Oryctolagus cuniculus: one gene and its partners. The protein of the gene in region 5 purifies or fractionates together with the protein of the main gene of each other region. This does not show direct contact. Links are inferred from orthologs where the notes say so. Each region holds a gene or a part of one and is shown on either strand. Other genes may lie near its edges.

What was found.
Region 1: the proteins of ARMC8 (region 5) and RMND5B purify together in Homo sapiens (affinity purification with mass spectrometry; 4 studies listed by BioGRID and IntAct, with this or other methods). This does not show direct contact. The link is inferred for Oryctolagus cuniculus from reciprocal best matches to the Homo sapiens genes ARMC8 and RMND5B.
Region 2: the proteins of ARMC8 (region 5) and HTRA2 purify together in Homo sapiens (affinity purification with mass spectrometry; 5 studies listed by BioGRID and IntAct, with this or other methods). This does not show direct contact. The link is inferred for Oryctolagus cuniculus from reciprocal best matches to the Homo sapiens genes ARMC8 and HTRA2.
Region 3: the proteins of ARMC8 (region 5) and UBE2H purify together in Homo sapiens (affinity purification with mass spectrometry; 3 studies listed by BioGRID and IntAct, with this or other methods). This does not show direct contact. The link is inferred for Oryctolagus cuniculus from reciprocal best matches to the Homo sapiens genes ARMC8 and UBE2H.
Region 4: the proteins of ARMC8 (region 5) and MKLN1 purify together in Homo sapiens (affinity purification with mass spectrometry; 4 studies listed by BioGRID and IntAct, with this or other methods). This does not show direct contact. The link is inferred for Oryctolagus cuniculus from reciprocal best matches to the Homo sapiens genes ARMC8 and MKLN1.
Region 6: the proteins of ARMC8 (region 5) and ZMYND19 purify together in Homo sapiens (affinity purification with mass spectrometry; 4 studies listed by BioGRID and IntAct, with this or other methods). This does not show direct contact. The link is inferred for Oryctolagus cuniculus from reciprocal best matches to the Homo sapiens genes ARMC8 and ZMYND19.
Region 7: the proteins of ARMC8 (region 5) and RANBP10 purify together in Homo sapiens (affinity purification with mass spectrometry; 5 studies listed by BioGRID and IntAct, with this or other methods). This does not show direct contact. The link is inferred for Oryctolagus cuniculus from reciprocal best matches to the Homo sapiens genes ARMC8 and RANBP10.

The regions. Positions count from the first base shown.
Region 1 is NC_091437.1:63,737,203-63,741,324, reverse strand, and holds the start of RMND5B (E3 ubiquitin-protein transferase RMND5B), read right to left. Parts: upstream 2,801-4,122; 5' UTR 2,702-2,800; coding exon 2,350-2,701; intron 2,342-2,349; exon of another isoform or gene 2,082-2,341; intron 1,553-2,081; exon of another isoform or gene 1,449-1,552; intron 1-1,448. UniProt on the Homo sapiens protein: Core component of the CTLH E3 ubiquitin-protein ligase complex that selectively accepts ubiquitin from UBE2H and mediates ubiquitination and subsequent proteasomal degradation of the transcription factor HBP1.
Region 2 is NC_091433.1:128,427,726-128,431,732, forward strand, and holds the start of HTRA2 (serine protease HTRA2, mitochondrial), read right to left. Parts: upstream 2,801-4,007; 5' UTR 2,692-2,800; coding exon 2,186-2,691; intron 2,066-2,185; coding exon 1,861-2,065; intron 1,762-1,860; coding exon 1,529-1,761; intron 1,385-1,528; coding exon 1,306-1,384; exon of another isoform or gene 1,274-1,305; intron 1,212-1,273; exon of another isoform or gene 1,090-1,211; coding exon 984-1,089; intron 847-983; coding exon 777-846; intron 102-776; coding exon 6-101; intron 1-5. Other genes in the region: lipid droplet-regulating VLDL assembly factor AUP1, read left to right, coding at 3,077-3,126, 3,207-3,344, 3,424-3,945.
Region 3 is NC_091434.1:166,117,153-166,121,324, reverse strand, and holds the start of UBE2H (ubiquitin-conjugating enzyme E2 H), read left to right. Parts: upstream 1-1,372; 5' UTR 1,373-1,810; coding exon 1,811-1,863; intron 1,864-4,172. UniProt on the Homo sapiens protein: Accepts ubiquitin from the E1 complex and catalyzes its covalent attachment to other proteins. E2 ubiquitin conjugating enzyme that transfers ubiquitin to MAEA, a core component of the CTLH E3 ubiquitin-protein ligase complex.
Region 4 is NC_091434.1:167,346,877-167,350,863, forward strand, and holds the start of MKLN1 (muskelin), read left to right. Parts: upstream 1-1,187; 5' UTR 1,188-1,246; coding exon 1,247-1,344; intron 1,345-3,987. UniProt on the Homo sapiens protein: Component of the CTLH E3 ubiquitin-protein ligase complex that selectively accepts ubiquitin from UBE2H and mediates ubiquitination and subsequent proteasomal degradation of the transcription factor HBP1.
Region 5 is NC_091435.1:143,486,184-143,489,683, reverse strand, and holds part of ARMC8 (armadillo repeat-containing protein 8), read left to right. Parts: intron 1-293; coding exon 294-436; intron 437-538; coding exon 539-636; intron 637-3,500. UniProt on the Homo sapiens protein: Component of the CTLH E3 ubiquitin-protein ligase complex that selectively accepts ubiquitin from UBE2H and mediates ubiquitination and subsequent proteasomal degradation of the transcription factor HBP1.
Region 6 is NC_091432.1:237,722,169-237,726,240, reverse strand, and holds the start of ZMYND19 (zinc finger MYND domain-containing protein 19), read left to right. Parts: upstream 1-1,272; 5' UTR 1,273-1,490; coding exon 1,491-1,541; intron 1,542-1,868; exon of another isoform or gene 1,869-2,216; intron 2,217-2,642; coding exon 2,643-2,702; intron 2,703-3,598; coding exon 3,599-3,705; intron 3,706-4,072. UniProt on the Homo sapiens protein: May be involved as a regulatory molecule in GPR24/MCH-R1 signaling.
Region 7 is NC_091449.1:51,057,176-51,061,352, forward strand, and holds the start of RANBP10 (ran-binding protein 10), read right to left. Parts: upstream 2,801-4,177; 5' UTR 2,545-2,800; coding exon 2,310-2,544; intron 1,617-2,309; coding exon 1,505-1,616; intron 1-1,504. Other genes in the region: TSNAXIP1 (translin-associated factor X-interacting protein 1), read left to right, coding at 3,162-3,208. UniProt on the Homo sapiens protein: May act as an adapter protein to couple membrane receptors to intracellular signaling pathways.

The DNA of each region.
Region 1 (4,122 bases), on a different chromosome or scaffold from region 5:
TACCAAAATGTGTGAATGTTCAAGTCCCTTATATAAAATGGTGTAGCACTGCATTTAACCCACACACATCCTCCCTTACATTTTAAGTCAACTCCTATGTATCTATTTGATAGGCTTGGAGCAGTTACCGTCTGCTGCTAAGGTTTTCACTACAGATGCACGAAAAAGGTGTCTTTGCACTTTGTCTGACTGTGGCAGCCAAGACTGAAGAGAGGCAGATGGGGTAGGAGAGGTGAATCATCTCTAGATCACTTACAATTTCAAATACAATGCAAACGCTATGTCAATAGCTGTTATATTATATTGTTTAGGGAATGACTTTTTAAAATCTATACATGCCCAATACAGACATTTTTCCTCAAATATCTCTGACCCACAGTTGGTTGAATCCATGGATGTAGAACCCCAGGATATAGAAGCCTGCCTATAGCCCAGACACAGCAGAGTACTTTCTTATGGTGGGGAGGGAAGGGAGAAGTGGGAATAATAAAGGAATATGTAATTAAATATAAAAGAGAAAAGGCCCTGCATGGACCAATTAAATGATTAAGAACTAATTATGATTAATGTAATTAAAATTTTAAGATAAATGAGCTGGGCAAACAACTACCTGAGGGGGGCGGCATTGTGGTTAAGCTGCTGTCTGCAACACCAACATCCCACATGGGCACTGGTTCGAGTCCCAGCTGCGGAACTTCCAATCCAACTCCCTGCTATGGTGTCTGGGAAGGCAGCAGAAGATGGCCCAAGTGCTCAGGCCCCTGCCACCCATGTGGGAGACCCAGATAGAGTTCTGGGCTCCTGGCTTCAAGCTGGACCTAGCCTCAGCCATTGCAGCCATTTGGGGAGTGAACTCGTGGATGGAAAATCTCTCTCTCTCCCTCTTTTGAATACATAAATCTTTAAAAAGAAAAAAAAACTGCTTGTGGGTTTTCCAGAGCCCAGGTTAACTCAGTGTGTCCAGAGCGAGCCGCTCTGCCCGTCACAGTCGGCCATCTTCACCAGGCACAAGGATGAGGAACTGTGTGCTTGTCTTTGACAACCTTCGTGATAAAGGTAAGTGCTGGCGATTGTCATTTCATGTCCATTCACCCTAAGTCTTTCTCCCCAAGGCCTTACACATATAGAGATCACCCAACAGGACGACTGCTCCAAAACACACACCAGATCTTGTCACCCCTTGGCTCAACAGTGCCATGGTTTCAGATAAGTCCTTTGCAAATACCCATGCACTTCCTTTGCGCGTGTGCCTATTTCTAGAGTGCCTTCTGCACTTCTTCACATGGAGAACTTAAGCAGGAGTTTAATCACCAGTTTTTCATGAAGTCAATGAAATCTGTGTCTCCTGTTTTTGCTTCATAAACGTATCCCGGGAGCCCATGTACTGACTGTCCCCATGCTGGTCTCTGCTGTCGGACTATGAGCTACCCAAGGGCTGGAGTCCCTACCTTTGGCGCCTAAACCAGGGCTGGTCCACGGTACTCAGAACGCGTTTGCTAATTAAATGGCACAGGACTTCCCAACCTTTGGCTTAGAGGGCCTGCGCTCACATCTGTGGAAGGTGAGCAGAGACAGGACTGAAATAAAATTCCCACCAAGGCACGTATGGGGGGACCCCGCACCCACACTTCAGCAGCCTGAACAAGGAGGGTTCCTGGAATGGGGAAGAGAATCTGTGAATCCCGAGGGAACTGATTCTGGCAATTTCGTAGCCCCCACCTCTAACCCCTCCCGGCCCGACATATGGTTCTCACTAAAACCAAGACTGGCTCCCGCTCAGCCTGCAACACACTCCCTCTTCGGTCCCAGCTCTGCTCGACCAGTCTCTGCCGCTGACCCCTGCTCCAGTCACCCGATCCCTATCCCACGGCCCCGTGCTTTCCTTCATTGCACACCCCCCTTCGACGATGCACATTTTTATTTTATCCTTAACCAAAACCGGAAGGAAGGAAGGAAGGAAGGAAGGAAGAGGCCACCGGGTCCCCCGGACAGTAGCCTCGCCGGGATTTCACCTGCATTAACCAACGAACTCATCCTTCCAGAGACCCTGCTCACGAGCCCGGCCGGGCCCCGGCCCGCACCTGGTTACCTGCCACCCAGCCGGGTCGCACGAGGCAGGGACGCCCGAGTCCGCGGCCCGGGGCCGGTCTGCGGGACTCCCGCTCCCCGTCCGGGCCGACGACTGCTAAGAGGACAAACCCAACGGCAGACTGGGGCGGGGGCTTCCGGAGGCTGAGCCTGGGCCAGGCAGCCAACCGAGCTACCGCGCGCCGCGGCCCTCCGCACCGCCGGCCGGCGAGCCCCGCCCTCAGGCCGCAACGCCTGGCCCAGAGGCCCGCCCGCGCTCACCTCCGCCTACGGCCCCGGCTTCCGGCGCCGCCGTCTTCGGAACCGGAAGTGGCGGCGGTGGCCGGGCGGCCCCGGGCGCTCCCACTCGCGGATACGCAGAGGGGTGGCCGTCCCGCAAACCGCCCCCCCCGCGCACCAGCAGTGAGGTCGCCCACAGGAGCTGGGGGACCGCGGTCAGGCGCTCGCACCCAGCCCTTCGCGGCCCAGCCCTTCGCGGCCCAGCGTAGGACAGAGCCATTCGCTGGCCGGCCGGGGGCCCGGCAGAGGCGCGGGGACTCGCCCTGCCTGGTGCCCCGCACGGAAGACCCCAGCTCCTGTGCCTCCTCCGCTCGCTGCGAACAGTGCTGTGCATCCTAGAGGCCCACCGGTTAGTCTGTGCCCTTGGGAAATGTCATGGAAGACAGAAGCCCTGGAGTCCGGCTGTGGTGTAGCGGGTTAAACATCCTCCCCATCCCCCCAACGCCGCGTCCCATATGGGCGCGGGTTCGAGTCCCGGCTGCTGCACTTCCGACCCAGCTCCTTGCTAATGGCCTGGGAAAGCGGTGGAAGATGGCCCAAGTCCTTGGGCTCCTACCCTCAAGAGACCTGGAAGAAGCTCCTGGCTCCTGGCTTCGGCCTGGCCTGGTCCTGGCCTTTGCGGCGTGACCTAGCAGATGGAAGATCTCTCTGTCTCTCTGTAACTCTGCCTTTCAGATAAATAAATACATAAATTTTTAGGGGGAGAAAAAAGCAAAGTCCTTTTTTGGTGCCCCAGCCTTGCGGATCCCCTCAACCTGAACTTAATCTGCAGAATCAGATTCCGCGGCTGCCCTGGGTGGGAACACACCAGCCCCCGGGGAAGGAAGGCTGACAGAGGAGGGGGGAACCGAACCCAGGCCTGGGCCTAGTCTAAGCTCCACCCAGGCCCGTTGGCTCTGCGCGCACCCCCCCCACCCCGCCCTCGAGGAGCCGGACTCTCCCGACTTCCGGCTGCCTTTTTAGGCCAGCCTCATTCCAGGTTCGCCTCCCCTTGCACAATCTCATTTTCTTCGCACTTGCACAAGCCACCTTTGTTTTCTGTACAGCATTTGATATGATCTCGTGTGTTTATTTGTTGTTCCTGACTTCTGGCGCTTAGCCCTGCCTCCACCACTTTTGGGGGCCGGGGAGGATGGCTTCCCCCACACCAAGTGCTTGGGGCAGAGTGGATGCTCCACGGGGAGACGCGGAGGTCGTAGGTTATACAGAGGAAACCTTAGGCTGTATTGCAGGGAAGGTGCGCGCGCCGCGAGCCTGGGTGGTCCTGTCCCACGCGGAAGCGCGAGGGCGGAGAGGAGTGAGCCTGGCCCGGGGCTAAGGGGCCCCGGAGCCCTGCCCAGCTGGACAGGACCGCACAGGCTTTCACGCACGCCCCGGGCGCCCCCACTTCCGCTCCAGGCCTGGCTGCTTGGAGAACTTTGCCAGTGCTGCTCACGAGACGTTCCCAGCGTGTGGCAGTCCTGTGGTTTTTGTTGGGATGGGGTCGGTTCTTGGAGCTGTTGTTCACGAAAATCAGTGTCTGTTGAAAAAAAATTTTTTTTGCCAGTTTCCTAGTTTGATTTTAAAAATTTCACTCAGTAAATAATGTCTATATTTTATTTTGGAGGAGGTGGGTACTTCTGTGTGGTTATCCCAGCACCTCCTGTTGAACAATCCTTCCTTACCCTCTCCTTTGAAGTCCTTTGAAGCCCTTTATCTTTTTTTTTTAAGATTTAAAAAATTTATTTTAAAGAGTTACAGAGAGGGGAGGCAGAG
Region 2 (4,007 bases), on a different chromosome or scaffold from region 5:
CTTACCGGTGTGCAGGGGAGCCCAGGATGACTTTATGGATGAGCACGCCATGCTGCACGTCAGGAAAGCTTGGCTCTCGCAGCTGTAGCTCAGCAAGGATGCTGCAAGGACACGGATCACCCTGGTAGCCACACTGCCGCACCCGCCCTCTCCTAAGTTCATCTCAAGCCTCCCATCACGCTGACACGTGTATGGACAGGACATGTACCGGTCAGTACAAAGGCGACTGATCACTTTCTGCCTCCTTGTGTTTCACAAGTGGGACATGTCCATGAAAGATAACTAATTCCAAATGACACCAGTGTTAAATCAATAGCACTAATGTCACTCTAGAATCCTGGGAAGCTTTAAGGAGCGAGTACAACTTAAGCTGAGCCTAGAAAGATGGGTCTATTAACTATGTAAAACAAGATCAGCATAAATAAAAACACGAAGCAGGAAACCAGGTTGGCTGGAACTGAGTATTCACATAGGAAGTAATGGGACCCAGGTCTGAAAGGATGATTTAGAGACACGGAAAACAGGCCAGGCTAACTGACAGCTTTAAATGAACACAGGAACAGGATGAAATCAATCTTATGACAGGTGTACAAAATGGAGTGAGGTGAGAAGGTCAAGATGATGAGAGGGGCCAGCTCTTGGGAGAGCCCCGAATGTGAGACAGCTCATCTTAGATAAAGTCAGGAAAGAAAGCAAACCAAGCTCAACGGAAGTGCCAGTTGCTCACCACTGATTCTACTGGTGGTCCCACATGTCATGACCCCAAATGCTCATACCTCGGAGTCAGAGTCAGCATCATCACTCCAATGTAGCGGCGCTGGGACCCACTGATTCCAAACCAGGAATCTGTGATACAGGGATGAATGAGCCCCATCCAGCTACATCCTTCCTTCCCCCTCACAACAGACTCCCCCTCCAGCAAGTCCCAAAGAATGTCCCACCCAGCTCTTAAAGGGAACCCCCACCCCTTGAGCCAGCCTCACTTTTCTTTTCTCCTCGATGCAAAAACTCCCGAAGGCGATCAGAAGGGATGGCAAAGGAGATTCCAGCTGTGACCTTCATGGTGTTCACTCCAATCACTTCCCCATCCTGCAGGGACACAGCCCCCTGTTCCCTAGCCCAAACAGATAGTAGGGGATGGGGGCCCCCGGAACACGAGTAGAAGCATGGAGTGTTGGGGGAATCTGTATTGGGAGACAGGCAACAAGAGCCTGCTCAGAAACATAAGCAAACATCCTAGAATTACTGAAGCCCCTCCCCTCCTCACACTGACCTGGGGCCTTGGAAGAAGAATGTCCCACTCACCAGGTTAACCAGGGGACCTCCAGAGTTTCCAAACTGCAGCACAAGGAGAAAACATGGGAAAGGTCTGGGAATTCTAAGTCTGGGGACACACACAGGAGGTAGGCACTCTCTCCAAACTTCTCTGCTTCCCCAACCCATACATGAGTGTGGCCACATTTCTGCAGCCCAACCTCTACCACCCCTCAGTTGGCACCTGTACCACCCAGCTCACCCTTGCCCGGACCTAGTCTGCCAATGCAATGCCCTTGCATCAGGACGCACATCAATAGCTGCATCAGTCTGAATGTATTCCACATTGGTTTGGGGGAGTCCCAGGTCTCTGGCTGGGCGCTGAGCAGAGCTGACAATGCCAGATGTGATCGTGTTCTGCAGCGCAAAGGGACTTCCCATGGCAACAACAAACTCCCCTTGCCGCACATCAGCCGAGCGTCCCAGAGGCAGTGTGGGGAGAGGCTCCTAAGGGAGAACGGGTACAGGAGACCTGTCATCTGGTGACGGGAGCTACAAGACAACTCCACACAAACCTGGCCTGCCCGCCCCCCCCCCGACCCCCACCTTGGTCTGTATCCTCAGCGTGGCGATGTCTGCCACGGGATCCACAGCGGTGACCATGGCCTCATATGTGTCGCCGCTAGGCAGCCTCACGCGGACTCGGCGCCGATCAGCCACCACATGGGCATTGGTAACGATGAGCCCGTCGGCCGCCACCACGAATCCTGAGCCGTTTGAGATAGGAACTTCGCGGCCCGAGAAAGGGTGCCTGGGATTGCCGCAGGGGTAAGGGGGCCTGGGTATAAGGAGGCTCTGACCACCCCACCACCACCGCTTGCCCGCCTCTAGGCCTGTGGCTTCAGTGCCTTCCAGTCAACCCTGTCTTTACCGGTCCAGGATCTCGATATAGACCACAGCAGGTGCCGTCTTCTCAACCACGTCTGCGATGAAGTTGTACTGGCTCCGCGGAGAGGTTGGCGGCGGAGCAGGGACTGAGGCGAGGACAGCCGGGGGACCCCGACCCCCGCCCCACAACAACAACAGCACCGCCCCCCCAGCGCCCAGCGCCACCGCCAGCCACACGCGTGGACGGGTTCCAGGGGTCCCCGAGGCCTCCCGCGGCCTGGAATCTGGGGCCCCTGCAGTCAGTCGTGGCCGGGGATCCGGGGACCCAGACGTCAGAAACGCCCGGGGTTCAGGGACCCCCACAGCCAACCGGGCCCGGAGACTGGGGGTCCCATAGGTCATCCGGGCCCGGAGGTCAGGAGTTCCTGACGTCAGCAGAGCCCGCAGGTCAGAGGTCAACAGGGGTCCCTTCCCCCATCGAATGCCCCCCAAAGCCCGCAATCCCCAGAGGCTCCAGCCTGCACCCCGCCCCGCCCTCAGCGCAGCCATCTGCTCCGCCTCGGCTGCCTCCTCGCCCGCCCTTCTCAGAGGCGGTGCCCAGGACGTAAGCGGGCGGACAGCAAGACGCGGCGCACGCCGGTATCTGAAGTCCTCCAGAAGTGCACGCCGGGACGCAGGATCCCGGAAAGTCGACGCCGCCCCGCCCCGCCCCGCCCCGCGAATGCCGGGAATTGTGGTTCCCGAGGGACGCGAGTTCCAAGGCGGCCCAAGGGGCCGCGGGGCATGCCGGGACCGCTAGCCCTTCCGGGGCGCCTCCGGACTTCGGGTTCCAGCACCCTGGGCGGATGCCCAAAGACTCCGCCTTCCCAGGAGCCCCTGCGGCCGGGCGCGAAGATGGCGGCGGCGACGGCCGGACACCCCTAAAGCAGCTGCTATGGAGCCTCCCCCGGCACCGGGGCCGGAGCGGCTCTTTGATTCGCACCGGTAAGAGCTTTCGCGGGAAGAAGCCAGCTCCCGGGCCGTCTCGACCTTCGGCACCCGATCACGTCGCCTTTCTCCCGCAGGCTCCCAGGTGACGGCTTCCTGCTCCTCGCGCTGCTGCTTTACGCGCCCGTCGGGTTCTGCCTCCTCGTCCTGCGCCTCTTTCTCGGGATCCACGTCTTCCTGGTCAGCTGCGCGCTGCCAGACAGCGTCCTTCGCAGGTTCCAATTCGGGGGCTCGGAGAGTGTCAGGAGTGGGCCCGGCCCGAGGCCGCACCGTCACTACCGCCTGTGTCCCCAGGTTCGTGGTGCGGACCATGTGTGCGGTTCTGGGACTCGTGGCCCGCCAGGAGGACTCTGGACTCCGGGATCACCGCGTCAGGGTCCTCATTTCCAATCACGTGACACCTTTCGACCACAACATCGTCAACCTGCTCACCACCTGTAGCACCGTGAGTGGGGGCCAAAGCCCCGCAGGGCAGTTCCTGGGGACCCAGCTCAAGGCTCGCCTATCCCCGTCGGGTTTCCCTTGGGCGATACAGAACCTTTCCCCTAATCCCGCTCCTTTACCCTCACATCAGTTTCCCTCATTTCCCTCCATGGGTTTCTTCTTGCTTTGTCTCCTCCGCGGTCCCCAGCCTCTACTCAACAGTCCCCCCAGCTTTGTGTGCTGGTCTCGGGGCTTCATGGAGATGGACGGGCAGGGGGAGCTGGTGGAGTCCCTCAAGAGATTCTGTGCTTCCACGAGGCTTCCTCCCACCCCTCTGCTGCTGTTCCCCGAGGAAGAGGCCACCAATGGCCGGGAGGGGCTTCTGCGCTTCAGGTAGGTGAGCACAGATATCGGGCTCAGTTGGGTAGGTGGGTTTCCACAGCCTTGTTTGGTTT
Region 3 (4,172 bases), on a different chromosome or scaffold from region 5:
CCGTTGGAAGCAGTTAAAATAGCCCATGGTTCTCAGAACACAGAAGAGAGGTCACCCCCTGCAGAGCCGAGGGAATGGAGACTTATTATTTAATGGGTACACAGTTTCTGTTGGGGGTGATGAAAAAGTCCTGGAACTGGAGAGTAGCGATGGCTTCGAGCACGGTGAATCTATTTAATGCTTCCGAGTTACATACTGCAATGCTAAATTTTACGTTATATACATTTAGCAGTGAAAAAAAAAAATAGCCAGGCCTTTTGAGGGATGGGACTGTAGGAGCAGACAATATTCAACTTCACCGATGGCTGCTGGCCCAGGTGCACGCGTTGTGTGTAGGCAGTTACGTAAGCGGACACAGCCCCCAGCACAGGGGCTGACAAAGTACAAGTGGATTCACAGGAGCAAGGGGACAGCTGGAAACTTCAGGAAAGCTGACATGGATATGGGCGATGCCTGGAACCCTGTCTCCTGCCCTCTTTGTCTCTCCAGCTTCACTGTGCACAGGGATCACCTGGGGAGCTTGTTAAGCTGCACCTCCTAATTTCATAGGTTTGAGGGGAAGCTCACGTCTGCATTTCTAACAAGTTCCCAGGTGACGTTCATGCCGTAGCTCACACAGACTGGGAGGGCTGTGCGCGTTTAGCCTTGTTTAGTTCCTCACGATAGCCTCGTGTCCCCCAAAGTGAGAGCCCCCAGGAGGGGCTTAATTATTATTATTTATTGATACCGAGGCAGTGTAAGAGGTGCGTGCAGGCGTTTGGAGGATGGGAGAATCTTTGCCGTGAACTCTAGCATATTCGAGCCGTCCCAGCTTCTAGGGGTCGCTCACCTTGTGATCTCAAATTCTGAATAAGGGTGTTAGTTCTAAGTTGTTTCTGGCCTTACCACCTTGCTGCCTCCACTCTGATCCTTGAAATCGTGGCCTTGAACACGTGAAAGGTAATGGCCCTGATTTGCAAACTGCGGGGAAGCCTTGCTCTCCTCTGCAATCCTGCAAATTCTCTTCACCTGAGGAGGGCAGGGGCTTTCCAGATCTGGGCGTCTGTCTGAATAATTGCCACTTTGGCCTCCCCCAAATCAAATAAACAGCCTTTAAAGCCGACTGTGTGCGAAGGCGGTTCATTCCCTAAAACACACGCGGGTGTCATAACGTTGCCATTATTTACTATGAACGTCTAGGACGACGGTAACACATTGGCGGTTGAGCGACAAAGTGTGTGGGGAAGGTTGGGGGGAGGGGACAGAGGACGGAGAGGGCAGGAGAAAGAGGAACTACATATCCCATAAGTCCCCGGGAAAGCCCACGGCGCGGCGGCGCCCCACCCCTCTCGCCGTCCGGGCCCGCCCCTCGGATGACGTCACAGAGGTGACGTCACGGCGTCCAGAGCGAGGCTGGGGTAGAGAGGCCGACCGAGCAGGAGTCGTCCGCCTGTCGTGCAGGCTGCCAGGAGTCGGCGAGGGGTGCGCGGGCGAGTGGCGATCGGGCGAGCGAGCTAGAGCGGGCCGGAGGGAGCGTGGCGCGGCGGGGCGCCGGGGCGGCCCCACAGCCGGAGAGAGCGGCGGAGCCGGGCGCCGCGGGGTCCCCACCCCCACTCGGCCGAACCGGGCCGGTGTTCCCCCGTGCGGGGGGCGGCGGCGGCGGCTGACGGGACCCGACGGGACCCGACGGGATCGGGGGTGTTGCCACCTCCGCCGAGGAGCCGGCGCGGCCGCGGGCTCCTCAGAGCCGGGGCCGGGCCCTTGACAGACGGGGCCGAGGACCGGAGAGAGGCAGCGGCGGCGCAGGCGACGGGGAGGCGGCGGCGACACCATGTCATCCCCCAGTCCCGGCAAGAGGCGGATGGACACGGACGTGGTCAAGCTGTATCCTTCGAGGCGGGGGATCGTGGCTGTGGTGGGGGGGCCGGCGTGGGGACCCCTGAGGCTCGGCCGAGGGCCCCGGGGCACCCCAGGCCACTGCCCCCTCCTCCCGCGGCGCCCACGGCGGCTCCCGGCGCCTCCCAGGAAGCGAGGGCCTGTTCAGCTCCCCTTTATCTGCAGCACCCCACAATATGCGTAGCTCCTGCTCTTCCTGCAACCCCCCCCCCCGCCCCTCCAGCGCCCGTGACTTTTCTTTGGGGCTCCCAATACGGCCTCTTTTTTTTTTTTTTTTTTTCTTCCCCCAGGACCAGCCGCCTCACTCTGTCTACCGCTGGGCCCACCGTCAGGGTCTCTCTTTTCTGTTTGTTCGCTCTGTATTTCGGGACTCCAGGCAGACATTTCCCGAGAGGGAGGCCTTTCTCCCTGTAGATGCCCCCATTCCCTGCTCTCACAATGCCTCTTGAACTGGGGTAACTCCAGCGACCTTCTTTATCCCTAATTCCTTTCTATATTAGGAAGAGAGTAGTCGGCGCAGGGCCCCCTTTGCTAATAAAGAGCTCGGTGTGTTTTTTAAATGAGGGACTCCTGGTGCGGTGGCTGGTCCTGGCAGGACCCTCCTGACAAAGCCTATCCCACCCGTGCTCGCGTGCGGTGAGGACCCCCGGGCCCTGCGGCCAGCCTCCCTCCATGTTGTGGCTGTGACAGCTGGGGGCAGGGAGAGCAGGCCTCCCTAGGAGACAGCCCCCCGAGAACCACCCACCCAAGCAGAACTCCCCGCGTGAGGCTAAGGTTCCTGGGGAGTACTCGCCCTGCCCCCGCCCCAACTTTATTCTCCCTGGAGGTTGCAGTGGGGGGGAGCCCCCCACCCCCCCCAGCAGGCAAGGGTTCTGGTTGGAGTCCAGGCTGATTATTTCATGACCAGCTAGAGAAATTCGCGAAAGTTCCTGTGACAAATCAAGGAATCTGGCTTTGGAGGGGATAAGTTAGAGATTGAGGGGGGCCCTCATGTGGGGAACAACTAAGCCCTGGGGAGGGGGGGGTTAGGGGGTAGGGTGTGAAAGGCTGTTTAAGAAAAAAAAGTGTCTCCTGTTTGTCTTTGGCCCTCACCCCATCCCCCCCATTGCCCCCTGTTGCAGGGTTTTGTTTATATAACTCAGGTTGCCGGGCCAGATTCTTCAGGTGAATTCTTCCTGGCTTTTATTTGTTGCCATTTCCGATCGACTGTTTTACTTCTTTGTAGGGATAGATGATGGTCAAACACTCAGTGATGGGATCTGCAGAAGTTTTTAAAAGTAGTTTTTGCATATGGTTTGGAGGTGGGGGATGGGAGGGAAGTTGCCTGGGCAAGAGATTATTACTGTTTTTTTTTTTTTTTTTAATAATCTTTTTGTTAAGATGTTTTTCTCCTCACCCAGGGAAGACTTGGCTAGGAATTAGGAACAGTAGGTGAACTTCTGAGTTTAGGGTTTGGAGTTTTAAGATTTTGGGGGGTGGGCATAGGGATTAGACACAAGCAAGTGATAGAGTATAATGTGCAAATAACACATGGCTAGGCACAAGTGAAATCAACTGTGAGGTGTTTATGGCTGGGATTGTTTTGTCAATATGTGAATGATACCAGTAATATTGGAGTTTTATAAGGTTGTAACTATGACTGTGGGTGTATTTTAGACAAAGCAGTTTTGGGTTTTATTTTTGTTTAGAAACTAGGAAATGACATGGTGGTAGAAATGAGTTATTTTTACCTTGAATTGAGAGTTACTGTCACACCTAATGCAAATTTCTACTTAATGTGTGATTGGGATGGGGGGCAGAGAATTCCAGCTGTTTGTGATCGATGTCAGATTATGTACGTACATAAATTTTTAACAGATTGAGGAAAAGAGTGAGGCCTAACTTGACCTGATGCCTTTTCCATACGGTGCCTTTTGTTCATTGAGTAGTTGTGGCATCTAGAATGATTACGGCATTTAGGAGTGGGGCGGGGAGGGGGGACAGAGGGAGAAGAAAACAGACAAAGAACAGCAGGGTGTCTTTTTTTTTCTTTTCCCCTAAGTGGCTTATTTCATAGCTTATTTTTAGTAGAAGATGAAGAAAGGCAAAGATGCTCTGGCCTTCTGTTCTTTCCCCACCTTCCTCCTTTCTGACAAAAGAAAGCAGGGGCGGCTTTAAAATCGCGGGTCTCGTAGATGGCAGTAGATGGCAGATAGCGGGGAGGCCGGAGGTCAGCTTTGTGTGTGTGATTTTCTGATCTCGCATAGTTTGGAAGTTAAAATTTTCGAGTGTGTGTGTGTGTGTGTGGTAGGGGTGAG
Region 4 (3,987 bases), on a different chromosome or scaffold from region 5:
CGAACCTGCCCCCCAAGGAAGGCATCCCAGGAGAGACCTCTCTGCCTACTGCCAAGTGGGCCCCCAGTCCGCTAACACTGGGTACTAAAAGCTTGGGAGGAACTCCAAACACCCCACACCCAGGAAACCCTTGGTCCGGGAGAAGGCGGTGGAGGGTGGGGGGAGGAGAAAGGCGGGAGGCGAAGTCTGAATGCAGCCGGTGCGCTCAGCTCTTGCCTGAGCCGCCCGCAGGGTGTAGCAGGTGTATTTCAGCTCTTTACGGTCAAGCCCACTGGACCTGTCCGGTGTATTCTCTCGGTGAACTGATGTAAGCTTGCTGAGCCCAGGCTGAAAGACGGGTGCTCTCCCTGATCTGTCTGGAGAGGCGCCCATCCGTCCTGGCCCCCGGGGAACATTCTACCCCCCTCTCTCGCCGGAACCCGCTCCCGCGCCAACAACCTCCCTTAGGCTCACCTCCCGCCCGGCAACCGCGGCAGCTAAGCCCAGACATCAACTCGCAGAGCCCGGACGCGCAGGTGCAGCGCCGGCGCCTCTGCTGCAGCTGCCAGACCCCGGGAGAGCCCGCGACCCCGCGTCCGTTTCGTGAGAAGCCGCTGCGGGGAGTGGCGGGGGTGGGGTGGGGGCGCCCCGAAAGCTTTCCCACGCCGTCTAGGAAGGGCTGGCCTGGGCCTCCCACGCTTCTCCACTGTGTGGGGCTCTATTTCGGTGGGCTGGACACCCAGCGCTCACCAGCTCCGCCGGGGGCCGAGGCCAGCCTGGAGCCAGCGGTGCCCCGAGATCCGTGGGAGGCCCCCGAAATGCTGCCGGCGACGGGGCAGGCGCCGGGCTGGTCTCCCTGCGACTCACCTGGCAGCCCCCGCAGGACAGGACTCGGGCCGTCACCCTCTAGCTCCTTTCAGCGCTGTTTCCTTAAGGGATTTACGACTTGGCCGGAGCGGCCCTTTTCCTCGTGCGTCTTCCACAACTGTAATTGGCCTCCTTTCCTGAGAAGTCTTGGCTTTTTTCCTCACCTCCGCTCCTAAAAGACGTCTTCTGCGCCCCATCCCTGGCAAGGCACCCCCTAGCCCCTCCAACCTCCCGCCAGAAGAGCCCCGCAAGCGCTCACAGCCCAGACGCGGCCACCAAGCCGCGGGCGGCGGGGGACGCCCGAGGACACGACGGCGCGGGCCTCGGCCCCTTTAAGAGCAGGCCACGCCCCCTCCCGGCGCGGCGGGCGGTCGGTGGCGGCCGCTCGGGTGCTGACAAGATGGCGGCCGGCGGGGCTGTAGCTGCGGCGCCCGAGTGCCGGCTTCTGCCCTACGCGTTGCACAAGTGGAGCTCCTTCTCCTCCACCTACCTCCCCGAGTAAGTGCCCGGCCGGGCTCGAGCTGGCCTGCGCTTTGGCGTCGGCACGGGCGGGCCGGCAGTGCCTGGAGGGCCGCTGAGCCGAGAGGCCCAGTTGGGGCCTGGTGGGGGGACGCGCGGCCTCGGGAGGCCCAGGGCAGCGGGGCCCGGAGCCCTGCACGGCCCGGCTTGGGAAGGGCGAGGCTGCCGCGAGCGAGCCCCGGGAGCAGCCCGGCGCGCGCAGGAGCACCGGAGCCGGTGCGGCGGCGCCGGGCGCCCGGGCCGGGGAGTCGCGGTTCGGGGGGCCGGCGGGGCGCGGCGGGGCGCGGCGGGGCCCAGGGCTTTGGGGCCGGCGCCGGGGGCGGCCCCGTCTCGCTGAGACGGGAGAGGAGGGCCTGGAGAGAGCTCGGCTCCGCCGGGGGCCGAGAAGTCGGCGAGTCGCGTCCGCGGGAGGAACCCTGGGCCGGGCCGGGGCATCTCTGCTGGCCGAAGTTCTCCGGGAATGGGGAGGAGGCAGGAGGGACGGCGCCCAAGAATTCCCTTGCATCCCGGCTCCTGAGAGGGCGGGCTTGTGGAGCACAGACCCGGACCCCATCCCAGAAACTCAGCTAGAACGGAAACGCTGCCTTGATCAACTTCAGCGGCAACTTGGTTCGCATCCCGGTCAGGTGTTGTCAAAAACCTTGCCTTGCCTTGCTACCGCCGGTTTCTTTGTAGCGAGTTCCTTCTGAGACGCCGACAGCACTTCCTTAGGTGTTTCTGAGCTCTCTCTCTCTCTCTCTCTCTCTCTCTCACTCCTGGGTTGCGTGCTGTAGGAGAAACAAAGGTACTGGTTGTTCCCAGGGTCCCTCATCTCAGGCTCAAAAAACCCTGGAGTGAGATATTTTTTTCTCGTCCCAAGCAAAGTGACTAGATCTGCAAAGCATACTCAGATACGTTTCGCACTGGAATTTTGAAACTAACTTCTGCAATTTCCCCAGTTTGATTGCTCTGGTTGCTTGAGTCAAGAATCCCCAGGTGGAGCTGTAACTAGAAGACTCTTAGCTCTTGATTGCCGGAGTGTGGTCCTGTTGACGTCAGGCCGGCAGTGGGACCACCTGAAGGGTGCCAAGTGACCTGGGGTCTCTCCTAGTGCCTTCTGGATGGCTGCTGCAGGGTCATGTCTCTGGTGGATGCTGGCACCCACCTGGAATCTGAGAGTGAGCCAGGTGGACATTCTTCTCACCTTAGGCCTTAGGCACGTGCCCTCGGATTTTCTGGGCCGACTTAGTCTTGGATCTGCAGATACTCAGCGTATTTCTATACGAAGACAGCTGGGACTTGGGGGTGGTATCGCTTCCTTTAGTAACCGCAGAGACATTTTTCTGATCTTCAGTTAGGCAGCTCCCAGGATGTCACTCCATCATCTCCTGGTGTAGGTGTGAGATGTGGGTATCACAGATCCCACCTGCGTTATTTGTTGTGTGGTGTGCATTCTAAGAACGGGTACATTTTAAGCAGGGTGTGGTTTGGTGGGATGGGGACTTCAATGTGACTGCCTTGTTATCTTGGCCGCTGATTAGAAAATGGGTAGAACACCCGTCATGGAGTTAGAAGGGAATTGTTTGACATTGGAGAAACCTATTGTTATAATTTCAACAAGTACTTTTGTAAAATAATGTTTTAAAACGTACAAGGGCACTTAAAGTTCATGGAAAACAATTTAAAACATTTATTTTGGTGCAGAAAATCTCAATTCATGATAAGAGGAATCTTCAAAAATTTAATAAAAAAAACCTGTTATGAGAAAACTGTTCAACTTTTTTTGTACCAAAAATAAACTTCTATACATTAAGAGTTTTATGAGAGAGAGGGATGAAAGAAGGGAGATAGATATCCTTGGATCTGCTGCTCTACCCCTCAAGTGCCCTGGATTGCCTGGTGGGTCTGGCCAAACCCAGGAGCCAGGAACTCAGTCCAGATCTCCCGTGTGGTGGCAGAGGCACAACTCCTGAGCTGTCACCTGCTGCTTCCCAGGATCCTCAGTCGCAGGAAGCGGGAATCTGGAGCAGAGAGCAGACTCAAGCCCAGGTCCACTGATGCAGGACATGCACAGCCTAACGGGCTTCTTAGCCACAAGGCCAAATGCCCACCCTGTATCTTTTAATTCCATTTGCCATGCAAATTTGACTTTGATTTACTGTATTTTACTTAATCCTTTGGCATTCCATTCATAGATGCAGTGTGCTGTTGGTTTCAAAGCGCTGAACTTGTACGATAAGGACAATCATTTTTTTCCTTTGAAGAGCTGTGTAGTTTTAGTTGAGAATTTGGTGTCTCCTAGGTTGGTATGTGCCATACCCCATCTATGAATGGTATGCTGCAGGATTAAGTAAAATACAGTAAGTGGAAGTCAGAGTTACATGGAAAATTTTTGGTTCTGAACTTCCATTAGCAAGTTACAGATTTGTGTCAGAGGAAGTGTTGGAAAGGGATTGACTATCCTTCACTTTGCCCTAAAATCTGCTCCCAGAGAATTGCTTTATCTTTACTAGCCAAGGAAGTCATGATAAGGTACTTCCTAAATAAGTTTCATTTTAGGTAAAGCCATTTGCCTACAAAGTAGCAAGTATTTATTGACATAGGTGGCAATAATGAAACAATAACCAAAATTGTAAACACTTA
Region 5 (3,500 bases):
CTGTTTCTCCAGAGTCTGCATGTGGACAACCTTGAGATTTAGAGTTATGATGAACTCAGAATCCGTGGTAGTCCTTCTGCTCAAAATGAAGAAAGCCTTTCCTAGATACCCCCCACCTTGTTTCTTTTTTGAATTAGCTGATGACATAAACAACCATTTCCCAGAGGGGTTCACATGCAAGCTATTTTTTAGTATGTGGAATGCGTGGATAGCCTTCATTAACCTGATAGCTTTGTCACACGAGTTTACTCCTATATTTTAGTCTCTTTGTTTATCAAGTTCCTTCTTTTTAGATTGTTGTACTTGCTTCAGCAAGAAACCTCAAGCACAGAGCTGAAAACTGAGTGTGCAGTGGTATTAGGAAGCCTTGCTATGGGTACTGAAAACAATGTCAAGTCTCTACTGGACTGCCATATTATCCCTGCCTTACTGCAAGGTATGTCAGGAAACCATTGCTCAAGTAAAGAGTAGAAAAGTTTGTAGTGTTTGAATACTGGTTGAAAAGGAAGATGAGTCTTAAATCTAGTTTCATCGATAGGACTACTGTCCCCTGACCTGAAGTTCATTGAAGCTTGCCTCCGATGTCTGCGGACCATCTTCACCAGTCCTGTCACTCCAGAGGAGCTACTGTATACTGTGAGTTTTATGTTTGAATCATCATACACTGCACTAACAGCCTCCTCCTGATTTGCCTCACATCTTCAAATTCATTGTAACTATTTTAGAGAAAAGTCTCAAGAAATATAAATTTCAAAAAGTTCATGGAAAATGTATTGAAAGATAAGTTTACCTTGGTACACAAATGTTTGAAATCTATGCACGGAGGAGGTTTCAAAAAGATCTTGGAAAACTTATCTTAAAAAACTGAGTGAATTCCAAAAAATTTTTTGCTTCAAACCAAATTCATTTTAAAATTCCATTTTCCATTAACTTTTTAAAGTACTCTCATTTTTTTCTTGCTTATTTGCAAATATCAAATCTTCTAAGCTTTGTAAAGAAGTGAAGGTCTCAGATCTTGAGGAATTTATGAACTGCTTATTTCTTTATATGTACAAATCAGGGAAGTATATCTTTGAATAAGTAAGTGATAGGGAGGTTTGTGCTCACTTTAGGTTAAAGTTCAGCAGAGTAGGGTTTGTAGAGAAGCGAGAATTTCATTTGGGCCTTGAATAATGGATAAGATTTTGAGAAGTAGAAATGAATAAAGCATGGGGCCGGCACTGTGGTGTAGTGGGTAAAGCTGCCACCTGCAGTGCTGGCATCCCATATGGGCACCAGTTTGTCATGTATCTGCTTCCTTCCAGATTGAGCATTAGCCGAAAGTTGGAATTGGAAGCAGAGGAGCCAGGACTCAAACCAAGCATGCTAATACAGGATGCAGGTCCCCCAAGTGATGACTTAATTGCTATACCAAACACCTGCCTCAGCCAGTGTCTCCCCCCCCCCCCCCCGAAAGCCTCAGGGGAGTGAACCCTTTTAGCCTAGCAGTTAGATTGCCTGCAGAGGAATGCCTATGTTCAATTCACAGCTTCAGCTTGTGATTCCAGCCTCCCAGCAGTGCAGACCCTGGGAAGCAGCAGTGAAGGCTCAAGTAATTAAGTTCCTACCTCCCATTTGGAATTCCTGGATTAGTTCCTGGCTCCCAGCTTTGCCCTAGCCCAGTCCCCATTCATTGCAGGCACTTGGGGAGTAATCTAGCAGTTGGGGGCTCTGTCTTCCTCTATCTCTCCTCTTTTCTCTGTCTCAGATTTTTAAAAAATTTCTTTTAGACTTCAGGGATTATGAAGGAGTCTTTTAATCTGTTGATTACATAGAATTTTCTTAATGGAAATTATGTAAGGGCCAGCATGGCCACATAGCAGGTTAAACTGCCACTTCTAATACCAGCATCCCATATGGGTGTCAGTTTGAGTCCAGGCTGTTTCACTTCCAGTCTAGCTCTCTGCTAATGCACCTGGGAAAGCAGTGGAAGATGGCCCAAGTCTTAGGGGCCCTGCACCCACATGGGAAACCTGAAAAAAGCTTCTGGATCCTGCTTCCATCTGGCCCAGCCCTGGCCGTTGTAGCCATTTGGGGAATGAACCAGCAGATGGGAGATTCTCTCACTCTTTCTCTCTAACTCTGCCATTCAAATAAAATGAATAAATCTTTAAATAAATTTCTTTATTAAAAACTATGCTAAGGTTTTTGAAATGCTCTTATCTATAGTCTACTGTAAGACATACTCATTGTCTCAATATCTATATGTAGAAGATGTATGTTTGTGATTTTTGAGAAAGGCCCACACACAATTGCACAAACGTGATACCTTCTGGTTTCTGTCCTGGTGTCTGTCTGTCCCTCTCTCTCTCATGCTAGTTGTACTTCTCTGTGGTTACACAAAGACCCAGACTGTCAGATTGGATACACATGAATCAGAGATCTTATCCAGAATCAAGCTGTATAAATATTTCAAGAGTTAAGCAGTTGAGAGGCATAGGCAAAGCAAGCATGGAGAGGGGCCTGTCCTGTAGCTCTGTTGTCCACCTTTCCTACATCAGATGCATATCCTCTGACCATTAAAGATACATAAGGTCTCTAAGTGAAGTTTGTGGATCACCACACACTGTAAGTAATATCCACATTTAAAGCACATAGATTTTTTTATTATTATTATTATTTGAGAGAGACAGAGAGAAAAGTCTTCCTTCCGTTGGTTCACCCCCACAAATGGCTGCTATGGCCAGTGCTCTGCGCCAATCCGAAGCCAGGAGTCAGGTGCTTCCTCCTGGTCTTCCATGCGGGTGTAGGGCCCAAGCACTTGGGCCATCCTCCACTGCCTTCCCGGGCCACAGCAGAGAGCTGGACTGGAAGAGGAGCAACCGGGACAGAACCGGCGCCCCAGCCGGGACTAGAACCCAAGGTACCAGCGCCGCAGACGGAGGATTAGCCTAGTGAGCTGTGGCACCGGCCAAAAGCACAGATTTTTACCTCAGAGTTTTATGAGACATTCAGGGATCCATGAATCATGAATCCACAGATTGGATACTGCACTGGTTCACAAAACTGAGTAAGCACCAGAATTACTTGGACCCTCCAGAGTTTCTGATTCAGTGAGTCTGGGGAGGGACCTGAGAATTTGCATTTCTAACAAGTTTGCAGATAACTCAGGTAGTTCTGGTTAAAGGATCACTCTTTGGGAACTGTTTGGTCCAAAGCATTCTGTCGAGGGCTTTTTTAGGAAAGAGCAGTTTGGTTTTCTGTAGGTCATATTGTTGCGTTAACAGATTAAACCAATCCTCTGTCTTTACCCTGAAAGTTTCTCCCCAAACCCAGGATGGTAATAGGGGGGAAATTGACCCTAGACAGCTGTTTTTTGTTTGTTTGTTGTAAAAATTTATTTTTTATTTGAAAGGTAGAGTTACAGAGAGGCAGAGGCAGAGAGAGACAAGAGAGATCTTGCATCTGCTGGTTTACTCCCCAAGTGGCCACAATGGCCGGAGCTGGACCCATCCGAAGCC
Region 6 (4,072 bases), on a different chromosome or scaffold from region 5:
GTGGGGGCCCGGCCGACGAGGACGCCCTGCAGAAGCCGAGAATGGCCCCTGCTGGTGGCTGGCAACGGGCCCTCACACAACCACGTGGGACTGAGTTTTGCCAGCACCGTGATGACTCCCCCCCATCCTCGACTGCTCTTGAGACTTGGAGAAAAGAAACCACCCAAGTTCACCACACCTCACCAAGAGCTGCACTGTCTCATGCCACTGTATCTGTGGCGGCTTCCTAGGAAGGCTCACTCTCGCAGGTAACTCCCCAGGCCATGCAGAGGCGGCGGCTTGGCACACAGGGAGACCCTCCCCGGGGCCGCTGCCGGGCTGGGGCGGAGGAACGACCCTTCGCCCTCCCTGGATGCTGACTGCGCACCTGGGCGGAAAGGACGGGCGACCCACGCACACCCCGCGCCACCGGGCCGCCTGCAGCGCCTGGTCCGGCAGAGCCACACATAGACGATGCGGGCAGAGATCCCCACATTGCCCCCCTGCAAGGCTGGACTGGTGGCCCTGCCTCCCAGCCTCTCGCCCCTGGCAGGTTGAGGCACAGGGACCCAGATGTCACGAGGTTTTCTGAGAAAACAGCCTGCAAAGCAGAGCCCGGCACACGGGAAAGGGGGCTCCGCGGGGTGGCCTCTGCAGACCCCTCAATGCCCGGGGTCCCCGCCGGCTCCTCAGCCGGACACGCGCCGCCGTGGCCGCCCAGCTCGACCCCGCCCCGAGAGGCCGAGGCTTTCCGGAGGACACGCCGCGGGCGGCCCCGGCCGCGCCGTTCCAGCCGCCCCTCACCACTGGGGCCGCGCCCCATCTGAGTCCGGGAGCCGCGACCCGGGCCTCCCCGCGGGGCCGCGGGGCGGTCCAGGCCCGGGTGGCCGGCACCTTCGGGCTCCGGGGGGCTGGGCGCGGAGGCCTCCTCAGGCTGGTTCCTCAGAGGCTCGCAGCAGGTCGCCCGGCCGGGGGAGACGACGGCGAAGCGGACCCACGTGGACGCCACACAGCGGGGACCGCCCGGGCGAGGCGTAGCTGCCCGCACAAAGCTTCCCGCGAAACTGACGTCGGAGCCGGGCCCGCCGCGCAGGCGCCGCCCCCGGCCGCACCCCTCCCCCGCGCTCGCCCCGCTCCCCAGCGCGCCGGCGCACTCTCCTCTCCCCCATTGGTCGCTGCGCGGCGGCGCGCGCCAGCCGGCGCACGGCGCGCCTCGCGATTGGCTGGGCAGCGGCGGGCCGGGGGGTGTGTCCCGCGCCGCGCCCCGCCCCTCGGCTCGGCTCGCGGTGGTGCGCGCGGCGGCGACGGCGGCGGCGGCGGCGCGTGGCAGGTCCGGCGGGCGCGAGGTGGCGGCGACGGCGGCGGCGGCCCGAGCCCGGCCCAGCCTCGTCCCGCCCGGAGCCCGCCCGGCCCCGGCCCCGACCCCGGCCCGCCCGGGCGCGCCGTGGCCTCGCCTCGGCCCGGTGTCTCCCGAGGGAGCGGCGCTGCCGGCCGAGAGCGCAGGCCCGGCCATGACCGACTTCAAATTGGGCATCGTGCGGCTCGGCCGGGTGGCCGGGAAGGTGAGCGGCGCGGAGCCCGCGGCTGGGCCCGGCCCGCCCGCCCTGGCCTCTGCGCGGGGCCCGGGGCGGGGGCGGTTGTGCGGGCTGCGGCCAGGGCGGGGGCGCCGGCCCCGGAGGGGCGCCGGCGGGGCGGGGGCGCTGCGCGGGCCCGGCTGCGGGGCCTCGCTCCGGTGCAGGCCGCCTCTTGAAGTCGGTGGGGCGCGCCCCTTGCCGCCTTCGCCGGGGCCCGGTCTAGGACCAGGGCCGGAGATGCGCGCCCGTGCCCGGGCCGCGTTCGTCTGGCGCTCTCCCATGTGGGGCTTCCGAACTGGGCCCAGCCCGGCGCCAGGGCTGCACCTGCGGCCGCGCGGTTTGAACACGGCGCCCCTTCCAGGGCAGCGCCACCTCAGTCCTTCTTGCTAGGGGGTCTGATGGGGGCCTCTGAGCTTGCACTGAGCGTGGGCTTCCCCAGCGCAGGACAAGGAAGCCGGAACCCCGGTGTTGGTGAACTCGAGGGCTCCCTCGACTTCTCTCCCCTAGCCCGGCCTCCGCCCTCCACAGGCTGCAGGCGAGGCCTCTGGCACCAGTGGGCCTGGAGGCTTGGCTGTTTCCGCCTTGCAGCAGCCTGGGCCTTACCCTGATGGAAGCCTGGTCCCTATATCCAGGGACTGAGAGGCAGTCTGCATTCAAGTGAAGGTAAAACAGCTCCGATCCTAGGAGAGATCTCGCAGGAGTGAGGCTGGTGTTGTTGGGGGTGTCCCGGGCTCTCCCCTGGAGCTCTGGCCCTCTCCAGGCTGCATTAACGTCCCCAAATCTTTCATCCGGAACATTCCAGGCAGACTGAACTGGAAAAGGGTGATTGGGCGAGCACCTGTGCACCCCTTGCCCAGCTTAACAGACAAATTGAAACCTGGTGTGTACTCTGCCCCTGCTCCAGGGCAGCCCACTAGGTCTGGCCAGCTTTATCGGGGGCGGTCTTGTGTGGGAGGCCTTTGAAGCCAGGTGCCTCCTCCTGTGGCTTTGCTGTGTCTGCCGCACACGCAGTGCTGCAGAGCCAGGCCCCCTGGCTGTAATGAGGCGCAGACCCCAAGTGTAACGCTCTGTAATGTGGTTGATTTGCAGACCAAGTACACGCTGATAGATGAGCAAGACATCCCACTGGTGGAGAGCTACTCCTTCGAGGTAAGGGCGCAGATGGGGTGTTCCCGGGAGGGCCGAGCGGAGTGCAGGTGCTTGGGTCCAAGAGGCCCGGCACGTGGATGTCTGGTGCCAGCCGGTGGAGTCTCCGTGGCCTTTCTGACGCTGGCCTTGGCCGACCTGCACCCTCCCTGGTCGCTGGCTGCTGTTAAATCAACTTTTGTCCTGTTGCTGACAGGTGTCCCTAGTGCAGCTTACCCAGTCCTCTCCACGGTCCCAGGTGCTCTGTAAGGAACTTGCCTCCGACCTCTGCGAGTGGTCCCTGGTGCTCTGGCCACAGGGCCCCACAGTTCTGCAGGAGCTCCTTCTCCAGGGTGTCCCTTTCTCACGGGATCGTGGGGGGTTTTTATTGGTGGGAAATTGTCTCTGCGCCCATAGAACTTCACAAATAATTGCTTATGAGTGAGGGTTTTTTTTAAGGTTATTTAAAATTTATTTGAAAGGCAGCATTAGAAAGGGAGAGACAGAGACAGATCCTCCATCCTCTGGGCCAGGCTGAAGCCAGGAGCTTCTTGTGGGTCTCCCACGTGGGTGCAGGGACCCAAGCACTTGGGCCATCTTCTGCTACTTCCCCAGGCCATTAGCAGGGAGCTGGATCAGAAGTAGACCAGCCAGGACTAGAATCTGCGCTTCTATGGGATACTGGCCCCACAGGTGGTGGTTGAACTTGCCACGCACAGTGCCGGCCGCTAGTGTGAGCGTTTCTTGTGTGAGTGAAAGGTGGAGTGGTTGAGGGGGCATAGCTGGCCTCTGCATCCACAGACACCCAGGTCCCAGAAACGGGCTGGGCCCTGTCTTCCGGCTTTTTTGTTTCATTCGATTATTCTAAGAGGGATCTGGAAATTGGAGGATTTTACCAATCCTTTCCTTGTTCTTTTCAGGCCCGCATGGAAGTAGATGCAGACGGAAATGGTGCTAAGATATTCGCATACGCCTTTGACAAGAACCGAGGCAGGGGATCGGGCAGGCTCCTTCACGAGCTGCTGTGGTGGGTGTTCTCGCGCTGTGCTGGTCTCCCCCTCGGCCCTGTGTGACCCTCACCTTCCCCGAGTCAGTGGCCCGTTGTCTGTGCCTGGTGCCTCCTGTGGTACAGGAATGTGGACGACTGCCTTCCGCTTTGCCCAGCACTCCGTCCACAGACAAAGCGCCTCACGCCCCAGGACAGGCTCTGCGGGGGGGGGGGGGGGGGGTCCTGCGCTCTGCCCCGGCTCTCCTGGGGCGCCTCGGCGGGGTGTGAAGGGGCAGCTCACTGGGGAAGTTAACTGCCGCCTCGGTGTGCATGATGGGATGCTGGTGTCTGGGACCTCTCGCTGAGGAACTGTTTGTAGGCTGTCTGGGTCTGGTTCGGGGTATCG
Region 7 (4,177 bases), on a different chromosome or scaffold from region 5:
TGGGGGAATGAACTAGTTGAGAGGAGAGCTCTCTTTGTCTGCCTCTTAAATAAAATGAAAATATATAAACAGTTTTAAAAAGCCTTCAGGGATGGGCGTTGTGATACGGCAGGTTGAGCCACATTCCATACAGTGCTGGTTTGAGTCCTGGCTGACTATTCTGTGTTTCCTATCCAGCTTCCTGCTAAAGCGCCTGGGAAGCAATGGGTGAGGGCCCAAGTACTTGGGTTCCTGCCGCCCAAGTGGTGAGGGCCCAAGTACTTGGGTTCCTGCCGCCCAAGTGGGGGACCCAGATGGAGTTCCTGGCTCCTGGCTTCAGCCTGGTCTAACCTTGGCTGTTGTGGGTATTTGGGGAGTGAACACTCTTACTCACTCTCTGTCACTCTGCCTTCCAAATAAATGGGTAAATCTTAAAAAATAAAAAATCCCTCCAATAAGTATAAATTTCCTATGTGTAAATGCAATAGATGGGGATAAAAGTGAAGGATGCAATAACTTCCCATGATAGGAATTTCAGAATCACAGAACTTTCAGTTTAAGGCAGCTTACACGCTAGCCGAGCGCCCCACAACACAGACAAGGAGACAGAAGTGTCAGGCTCTGCCTAAGACAGAGAAGAGCACCACAGCGTCGCTGAGGAAGCAGGACAGGCTGAGTCCACGGAGGGACAGTCCCCAGGAAAGAAGAATCATTCCAAATGCTCAGAAATCCGCTCAGGGCAGGGGCAAAGGTCACTGGCCGGGTGGGGCTGGTCACTGGTAAGGAAAGTGTTTTCCACAGTAGCTGCAATCATGTTATTTCATAACTTAAACACCTGCTTTGTCACAATCACTGGAAAAAGGGGAAACGGGGAGAAAAAGGAGAATGAGAAAGAAAAATGAAGACTCTCCCCTCTGATTTCCTAGGTCTGCCTAAAAGAGGGTGTCTCCCTGATGCTGACCTTAATGAGGACCTTCTTAAAGCTGGTCCAACTGGTGTGCAAGTTCCTGGACTGAAAAACAAGTTTATGGGCAGCGCGGTCACCTGATTCTGACCATGTGTGTGCTGTTTACCCTGAGATGACAGGCTGGTGGCCACCACCACTCTGATGGAAGCTGGAAAGACTCTCCTACTCCTCTGAAGCCTACCAGGGCCTCTACATGACTCAATGCCATAAAAAGGAGTGTGAACGGAGGGAAGTCACACACTACACACCAGTGGGAAAACCCCACTGCGGGTGCTGAACCGTACTTGTTACTTGTTTTTCTGATCTGTGAGGCATGTAATGACATCATCACTAAAAAAAAAAAAAAAAAAAAAAAAAAAAGCCCCTTGCTTTACCATTAACACCCCTACTTGCTCTCAGGGCCTAATGCTCAGACCAGCCATGGTCAAGGAACACAGAAAGCCCAGACCCATGGGCTCAGCAGCTCGCAGGGTCACGGTGTCAGCCAGGAAACTTCGAACTCTGACCACCTGGAACAGTTTCAGTGTTGGGGAAAGAGGGTGCTACCGAGGGGCTTACCCATCTCTTCCTTTGCTGACAATCTTCACCTCAAAGTAATAAATGCCACAGGCTGCAGGGATGGGGTGCGTGGCGCGCACCGAGGCTGCGTCTTTGTGATTTTTGCCATGACCTATAGGAGAGGGCAAGGAAGAAATTTCAGGAGAAGGAAATGCAGATGGGAAGCCAGAGGACACTCTTACAGTCTCCAAGGAATACCTAGACAACTGAGTCAACACACACACCTCCTCCTGAGCCGCTGTCCTCCCCCCCAACAAGGGTAGACGCAATACGGGTGCACGTGAGGGACAGCCAAGTGCTACCAGCAGTCTCTAGAATGCAGGCAGCCCACCGGAGAGACCAGGGGAAGAAGAGGGCAGACCTGGAAAACACCTCCTCCACTTTAGCAGAGAACCCCTGGCCTAGTCCTGGATGACTGGCAGGCAGGCAAGCCCATGGGGCTCCGGCTAATGGTGGAGATGTGACCAGCACACTCCAGAAACTAAGCATTGATAAAGGACCGAGCTGGCGCTGCGGGAGGCAGCCCAAGACAAGCAAGGAGGCCCTGAAGTGGAAGGTCCAGGCCAGCACTGGGTTTGGACACCTGTTGCAGTTCTCTTGACGCTGGGGGTCTCGGGCAGAGCAGAGCCGGCAGTCAACCCTCGGCCTGGTCAGCCCCAGCACACTGGACATTCCACAGGGGCTAAGGCCTAACCCAGAGCACCCACGCAGGGAAAAGGCCGTGATGGGGCAGGTGTAGGCAGCACAGCCACAGCCGTACCGCAGATGCTCTGGCCTGGTCCCCCCGTGGTCACACGGACGATACCTTTGTAGTGGACGCGGAGGTTGCCTTGGGAGAGGCCGATGTAGTTGTACTTGTCCTTGGGGCTCCAGGAGCGCGGCAGCGGCGTCTCGTGCTGGTTGACCGCGGGGTACAGACGCTGCAAGCGTCGGCTCAGCTCCTGCTCCCCCGGGGACGGAAGCCCGCCCCCAGCGCCCCCACCGGAGGAGTCTCCAGGCTGCGGGTTCCCAGCTCCCGGGTCTGCCGTCGCCGCCGCCATCTTGGAGGGAGCTGCTATTGTGTCACTGGGGGCGGGGAGGAGCAGGACTAGATCCGCCCCGCTCAGCCAATGGCCCGCCAGCCTGCCGGGGCCGCAGGGAAACCGAGTCCGAGTCCGGCACCTCTCTTTGGACACTGCCCCTCCTTGCCACACTTTGGACTTCAAATCCCACAATGCACAGCTCTCCGGAGGCGGGCCGGTAGAGAACTATGGGAGTTGTGGTACAAACCATCTCAGCCATGAGCCTGCCCTACTGAGATGCTGGGGCATCAAAAACTACAGTTCCCGCCAGCAAATCGGAACCGGGTCTCTCAGCGCCCCTCCTTCCCCCGAGGCCTCGGTTCATGCCCCTGATTCAGTTCTGGTAGTTGGGGTCCAACGCACTGCAGGGACCGGCTCTCGGGGCACCCGGCTCCCCAGTCCGAGTCCATCTTTGCCACCTGGCCTTCTCCCAGCGGGCGGGCGCAGGGTCTAGAGGCGTGGCACAATCTTGGCCCCGCCCCCGCCGCGGGGCCGCTGGGGCCTGGTCGTCATGACAACGGGCTGTACACTACCACAGCTAACCAGGCGGCGGGTGCTGGCTGCCCGCTCGCCTGCCTGCCTGCCCGAGTCGGGTAATGGACTCCTCACAGTCGCGGTGCTGCAGCTTCTCGTCTGTGTCGAGGTAGGCGCCGGGCGGGCTGAGGACAGAGAGGAGGGTTTGAGTACCTCCAGAGAAGGAAATGGCATCTGGAACAGACCTCTGAACCTCCTGCTGGCCTGTGTCCTTCTGTGTGAGGCTCTGGCCCGGACACAGCGGTGCAGAAAGCCCGGCTGACTTAGCCCACTGAGGACGTTACCTGCTGGCAAAAGGGCGGACGCATTTCGCCAGTAGTAGTAACTGCCAGCTTGCACTGAGCGTGTTATATATGCCGAGTGCGTTGTATACCACATTTAACCCTCACAACGACTCAATGAAGAAGTAGTATCACCACTTTACAAATGAAAAAGTAGCAGTGTGGAGAGATGATGTCTTTTACCTACATGTGCGGATAAGTAGTGGAGTTAAGATGTGAACCCAGCTACGTCAGACTTCTGAACTGGAACCCTTAGCTACAGGGACAAACTATCTCTTCACCCATGAGTTAGTTGGATTTATGACAAAGATATTTGTTGAATTTAGGCTGACTCTAAGCAGCCTAGGCATATCTCACAGCCTCTTCAAGTAGCTCCAGATTCAGGGGTGCCGCCTCCAGGCACTGTAAAATATGACACAAGTCCCATTGATCAGGAAAGCCGCCTATATGGATTCACACAAAAATTTCACCTAAATACCTTCCTAGCTTCTGAACCTGATAGAAGGCCCTTAAAGTTACAGGCACTGGTTTCTGTATCTCAAACAGGAGGATGATACATTGTTGGGAACATTTAGCAAGAATATGGGAAGCTGTCACCACTGCTCTTGCACATAGTAGGCATTCAGGAAATTTTAAATAATATAGTTTGCCTCTTCTAATTATGGCCAATGCAAAAAATCCTGACCTCACCTGAATTCTCATCCTTCAGGGTCTGCTCCCATGAAAAGCCCACAAGAGTCCCCTAAAACAGGAAATGCCAATTTACCTGTTTTATCCAGAGGAAAATCAGTCTGCAA